2 linked regions of the Ovis aries genome follow. The protein of the gene in region 1 purifies or fractionates together with the protein of each later gene. This does not show direct contact. Links are inferred from orthologs where the notes say so. Each region holds a gene or a part of one and is shown in the gene's direction. Other genes may lie near its edges.

Region 1 (3,521 bases):
CTCTTTAACTCCTTAGTAAAGTTTCTTTTGTCAGGCTCTAACTTTTTCTTAAACGAATCAAGGAAGAGATGGTTGCAGGTGGGGTAGAGATGCACACGCATGCTTGTACACTGAGAGACCCGAGAGATTGCTAGGGGCAGGGAGTGTCAGTGAAAGAGGTGTGGACAAACCCGTTGGTGAAGTGAGTCTACTCGGATGGATGCAATATTAGCATGGACACAGCTATTCCCATGGAGACCTCATCTTTCCATCTTCAGACAGTGGGCGTTTGGCAAAATCAGGTAGCTAGATAACCATAGAATAACCAAAGCAGAATAGGATCAGTACTGTAAAAAAGATGGACATTCTTAATTTCATGATAGGTCTCGTTTTTAAATTTAGTTTGCTGCTTTCCTTAGCTTTTCTCTTTCTATTAAAATTTGACCTCTGTGCTCTAAACAGCATTTGAAAGTGAAACTGACAGTCACTCCGTCGTGTCCAACTCTTTGCAACCCCCTGGACTGTAGCCCGCCAGGCTCCTTTGTCCTTGGGACTTCCCAGGCAAGATACTGGAGTGGGGAGCCCTGCTTTCCACCAGGGGACCTTCCCGACCCAGGGATCGAACCCACATCTGCATCTCCTGCAGTGGCGGGCAGACTTTTTACCCACTGAGCCATCAGGGAAGCCCCAGACAGCATCAAGCAGGTCCTTACGGAGTGTGAATTAAGTTAACTGTCTTTTTTCATGCTGATTTAGTTAACTTTTGAGCACATGATTCTGTTTTACCGTATAGAATATCTCAAGTACAGTAAGAAGCAAATATATGAAAGAGAACTACTGTGTGTGCATGTGAGTGTGCGTGTAAGGAACTTCCTGTCTGTGTCTTCTGACAATGTAATAAAGCTAAACCTAAGCACTTAATGTCTTGCTTTACTTTAAAAATATCTCAGTCTTTTTATATGATGAAAACTGCAATCGGGCTTTATGATAATTTAATTGCAATTTTGATCCAGCAGACATGGGAAAACTTAGACATTTTAATGGAAAATAAGATATAATTGATAACTCTGATGTTTCTCTTTGGTGAAGTCATTTATTAGAGGCGGGAGACCAAGAAGAATAAGAAATAGTACTTTTCTAAATGACTTCACTCTCTTGATTTAGTTTGGCTTCTCTGAATCTCAACTCACCTCATGTTTCTTTACAGGCACATTCCATCCACCACATCCGAACAATGTCCTACGTTTTTGTAAATGATTCTTCTCAGACTAATGTACCCTTGCTGCAGGCCTGTATTGATGGAGACTTTAACTACTCCAAGAGGCTTTTGGAAAGTGGCTTTGACCCAAATATCCGCGACAGCAGGGGCAGAACAGGCCTTCACCTCGCAGCAGCCCGAGGGAATGTAGACATCTGCCAGTTGTTACATAAATTTGGTGCTGATCTCCTGGCCACTGATTATCAGGGAAACACGGCTCTTCATCTCTGTGGCCATGTGGATACTATTCAATTCTTGGTTTCCAATGGACTCAAAATTGATATTTGGTAAGTTCTGTGGTTTTTGAAGTCTCGTCACTTCCTCCCATTAGCCTCTCAACCAGTGGTCTACTCTTGAAATCTATCGATTTTGTTTCCTCATTGATCAAGTGTAGTGACAAGCTCAGAAAGGTATTGAGGACAATGAGTGAAGGAACAGGAGCCTGACTTCTAGATTTGTGCTGAAGCAATGTAAAGTTTTCTATGAAAATAGTGGCTAAGTTCTGCTACTAATTAATTAGGTATTATAAGACAAGGGAAAAAGAAGAACTAACATTTGTTGAAAATCTATTATGACCTGGGCACTGCGTTTACTGTGTTAGCTCATTTACCCTTCAGAATGAATAGCTCTTAAGTATTCGTTTTATAGATGAAATAGCTGAGACAAGAATTCTGGGTTAAATGACTTAACACAGTTGGAATTTAAAACTAGTTCCACCTGGTTCCAAAGCTTGTTTGCCTTCTATCATGTAATATACCATGCTAGCTTCATTATCTCTCTGGACTCAGAGTCCTTCTTATACTGAACAATTTGAAGTAGTGTTTTTTGTTTTGTTTTTGTGATACCTTGTCTCTTGAGTAGGAATAAAATCAGGTCACTTTAAAAAGAAACCTTGACCTTTAAGCTACATTTTTTATGCCTAATTTATTGGTGCTATAATGTCCCTAAATCCGAATAAGACAGTAAATGATACTGCTACTATAGAACAAAATGTGGTAGGAATTAACTATAAGGTTCAGTGTTAGTTGGGCTTTCTCCTGTTGTTAAATGGTTAGGTGAACCAAAGCAGATTATTTGATTGCTTTTGAGCTTGGGTTTTTTTTCCTTTTGGTTCTTAGACATTTTAAAAAATAGACACTCTTCTCATGAAATATATAAATGTCAGATAAGAATGAATCTAGAATCTAGACTTTTCCAATTAGTTTCTAGGAAGATGCCCTTTTTTTCTTTATTCTCATTTATCTACTCTTAACTAGTATATATGTTTCCTTTTTCCTAAAAGAAAAAAAAGGTTAACTCAAAATTCAGGCTCCATCTCAACCACTGGTTCTGCTCTGGTTTTAAATTTTGAGTTAATGGGGCCCATGCCTTCCTCACTGAGATCTCCACAAATGGCTAATAACAGTGTAGTGTAACAGCTATTTTTATTTTTATGAACTTTTTAGCAACCATCAAGGTGCTACACCCCTAGTTCTGGCAAAGCGCAGGGGAGTGAATAAAGATGTCATCCGATTGCTGGAATCGTTGGAAGAACAGGAGGTAAAAGGATTTAACAGAGGAACTCACTCAAAACTAGAGACCATGCAGACAGCTGAGAGTGAAAGGTACTTAAGATTTCATTTTTTTAAGAGGCAAGTCACTTCAAGTGAATCTTTTTTTGTGGTTTGTTTCTTTTGTCTTTTTTAATGTATTTGTTTTTAATTGGAGGATAATTGCTTTACAGTATTGTGCTGGTTTCTGCCATACATCCACATGGATCAGCCATAGGCATCCACATGTCCCCTCCCTCTTGAGCCTCCCCGACACCACCGCCCCGCCATCCTACCTCCCAGGGTGTCACAGAGCACCAGTGTGAGCTCCCTGCGGCAGGTCTCAAGTCCCCGCCAGCCCTCTGCTTTCTGTGTGATGACATACATTTCAGTGCTCCTCTCTCAGTCCGTCCCGCCCCCCCCTTCCCCCTCTGTGGCCACAAGCCTGTTCTCTGTGTCTGTGTCTCCGTTGCTCCCCTGCGAGTAGGATCGTCAGTACCGTCTTTGTAGAGTCCATTTACATGTGTTAACATACACGGTATTTTTCACTTTCTGACTTACTTCACTCTGTTTAATAGGCTCTAGGTTCATCTGCCTCATTAGAATTGACTCAAATGCGTTCCTTTTTGTAGCTGAGTAATATTCCATCTTGTATATCTTCTATAGCTTCTTTATCCATTCATCTGTCTATGGACATCTAGATTCTTCCATGTCCTAGCTGTTGTAAATAGTGCTGCAATGAACATTGGGGTGCA
Region 2 (3,521 bases), on another chromosome or scaffold:
CTGTGCATTAAATTTCTATATGCACTCATCTCTTTCTTATTGGTCTGTTTTCATTACACAGTTTTGATTAGAGAGCCTTTATCTATGCTAGCAGCCAGAAGAATAGATAGGTTATTGTAACTGTTCTGACTAGTCATAGGCCATTGTGAAAGGTTGGAATTTGGGAAGTAAGGTATAAGAGTGATTTTTGAGATCTTGAAAGATTACTTTTTACAGGACTTTTGATATGTGAGGTTTGTCTAAAGATTATAAAAAGTGTATCATGCATTTGTTTATGTAGGTTTCCAGTAAACTCTTTTTCTCTCTTTTTTTTTCTTTTAGAACCATGTATGTATTTGGTGGTTTTAATAGTCTCCTCCTCAGTGACATCCTAGTATTCACATCGGAACAGTGTGAAGCACACCAGAGTGAAGCTGCTTGTCTTGCAGCAGGACCTGGTGTCCGGTGTGTGTGGGACACAGGGTCATCTCAGTGTGTCTCCTGGGAGCTGGCACCTGAAGCACAAGAAAAGATAAAGTCAGAATGTTTTTCTAAAAGAAGTATGTTTTTTTTTTCCTCTTCTTAAAATGTAGTTAATTTGAAATCTTTTTATCTCAATTGTGAAGGCACTTATCTTATGTGAACTTTCAGTGTTCGTTTTATTATCCAAAATTATTCGAGTAATAACATAGGCAAATGCTTTATGGATGTTTGAAAATTGGTTTGTAAACATTTGTGTAGTGGATGGAAACATGCCATGTCTGCTGTTTGCTAATGATGAAGAAAAAACATTTTTAACATTGCCTAGACTTTGTATACCTACTCTAGAGGAAAAGGAAAGTGAAGTCACTCAGTCATGTCCAACTCTTTGCAACTCCATGGACTGTAGCCTGCCAGGCTCCTCCGTCCATGGGATTTTCCGGGCAAGAATACTGGAGTGGGTTGTCATTTCCTTCTCCAGGGAATCTTCCCAACACAGGGATTGAACCTGAGTCTTCTACGTTGCAGACAAACTCTTTACCATCTGAGCCACCAGGGAATCCCCTTTTCTACCAACTTCAGAACCTAGATGTTTATTTCTGCACTGTCCCCATATGTTAGCTACTAGCAATCTGTGATTATTAAACACTTGGAATGAGACTGGTGTGGCTGAAGAAATGAATTTTTATATTTTAACTAAATTAAAAACTACATGTGGGGACTTCCCTGGCGATCCAGTGGTTAAGACTCTGCTGTTCTGCAGCAGGGGACACAGGTTACATCTCTGAACAGGGAACTAAGATTCTGCATACTGGCAGCCAAAAAGAAATAAAAAATAAAAACTACATGTGGTTAGTGGCTACCACATTGAATTATGCAGTTCTGACATTAAGGATAAGATTCAGTTCAGTTCACTTCAGTCGCTCAGTCATGTCCGACTCTGCGACCCCATGAATCGCAGCACGCCAGGCCTCCCTGTCCATCACCATCTCCCGCAGTTCACTCACACTCACATCCATTGAGTCCGTGATGCCGTCCAGCCATCTCATCCTCAATTGCCCCCTTCTCCTCCTGCCCCCAATCCCTCCCAGCATCAGAGTCTTTTCCAGTGAGTCAACTCTTCGCATGAGGTGGCCAAAGTACTAGAGTTTCAGCTTTAGCATCATTCCTTCCAAAGAAATCCCAGGGTTGATCTCCTTCAGAACGGACTGGTTGGATCTCCTTGCAGTCCAAGGGACTGTCAAGAGTCTTCTCCAACACCGCAGTTCAAAAGCATCAATTCTTCAGCGCTCAGCCTTCTTCACAGTCCAACTCTCACATCCATACATGACCACAGGAAAAACCATAGCCTTGACTAGACAGACCTTAGTCGGCAAAGTAATGTCTCTGCTTTTGAATATACTATCTAGGTTGGTCATAACTTTTCTTCCAAGGAGTAAGCGTCTTTTAATATCATGGCTGTAGTCACCATCTGCAGTGATCCTGGAGCCCCAAAAAATAAAGTCTGACACTGTTTCCACTGTTTCCCCATCTATTTGCCATGAAGTGATGGGACCAGATGCCATGATCTTCGTTTTCTGAATGTTGAACTTTAAGCCAACTTTTTCGCTCTCTTTCTCTTTCATCAAGAGGCTTTTAGTTCCTCTTCACTTTCTGCCATAAGGGTGGTGTCATTTGCATATCTGAGATTATTGATATTTCTCCTGGCAATCTTGATTCCAGCTTGTGTTTCTTCCAGTCCAGCGTTTCTCATGATGTACTCTGCACTCATCTCACATGCTAGTAAAGTAATGCTCAAAATTCTCCAAGCCAGGCTTCAGCAATATGTGAACCGTAAACTCCCTGATGTTCAAGCTGGTTTTAGAAAAGGCAGAGGAACCAGAAATCAAATTGCCAACATCTGCTGGATTGTGAAAAAAGCAAGAGAGTTCCAGAAAAACATCTATTTCTACTTTATTGACTATATCAAAGCCTTTGACTGTGTGGATCATAATAAACTGTGGAAAATTCTAAAAGAGATGGGAATACCAGACCACCTAACCTGCCTCTTTAGAAATCTGTATGCAGGTCAGGAAGTAACAGTTAGAACTGGACATGGAACAACAGTCTGGTTCCAAATAGGAAAAGGAGTACGTCAAGGCTGTATATTGTCACCCTGCTTATTTAACTTCTATGCAGAGTACCTCATGAGAAATGCTAGACTGGAAGAAACACAAGCTGGAATCAAGGATAAGATTAAGAGGGCTAATCCAGAAATGCTGTGTTGAAGTAGATTGTTCTAATAGATAGAGGTAGAGTTACTGTCTTTGCAAAGTATTATTCTTTTCTAACCTCTCTAGTTGAGCACAGCAGTGATGGCAAGGCAGGCAGTTGCTGAAGATGAGCAGTGATCCCTGCTTCTAGAACCACCCCTTGTATTGTCCAAGTTTTCTTTACCTTACCTTCTCAGCTTCTTATTACCCTTTTTTTTTCCTGACAGTCAGCACAGTGCAATACAGTGAAGTCATATGTGGGAAAGTCTTTTAAAAGTAAGAAAAATGTCTCTGCAAATTATTTTTTCACTTCAGTTTATTTAAAGTATCTTGATTGAATTTCTTAACTATTAGGGTTACCATGATATAGTAGTTACTATGTGAGTTATGATGGACAGAGGCAGCTTTCAACTGTCCTGGAATGTTCCAAATTAAACTGAACATAAATCCTCAGTAAGACCATCCAGTCAACTTTCCAGGTTCATTGGTGGTCTTGTGAGTGCTAGAGAACCAAGATGACCAGAACTTTTTAGGGCTAGTCACCATCTCCTAAAAGGGATAAAAGCAGTGAAGTAGCTATTTTTTAACCATATGTTAAAAAGTTCAAATTAAATGTGCAGGTTTATAGGAAATAGTATTTAATTCCCTTAGATGATCCATTATGATCTCATCTCCAGTGTCACCTTCCTGGTTTACTCTGCTTTCTGTGTGGGCCCAGGCCGTGGAGTGATAGCAAGGGCAGGGAGAGCAGCCTCAGGAGCAGGTGGCTAGGATCTTTGTGAGGGTGCGCCCTGCCTTTTCTTGTCCATG

What was found.
Region 2: the proteins of ANKRD46 (region 1) and ATRN purify together in Homo sapiens (co-immunoprecipitation; 3 studies listed by BioGRID and IntAct, with this or other methods). This does not show direct contact. The link is inferred for Ovis aries from reciprocal best matches to the Homo sapiens genes ANKRD46 and ATRN.

Annotation. Positions count from the first base shown.
Region 1 is NC_056062.1:76,762,059-76,765,579, forward strand, and holds part of ANKRD46 (ankyrin repeat domain-containing protein 46), read left to right. Parts: intron 1-1,186; coding exon 1,187-1,524; intron 1,525-2,682; coding exon 2,683-2,841; intron 2,842-3,521.
Region 2 is NC_056066.1:51,355,623-51,359,143, reverse strand, and holds part of ATRN (attractin), read left to right. Parts: intron 1-321; coding exon 322-539; intron 540-3,521. UniProt on the Homo sapiens protein: Involved in the initial immune cell clustering during inflammatory response and may regulate chemotactic activity of chemokines. May play a role in melanocortin signaling pathways that regulate energy homeostasis and hair color.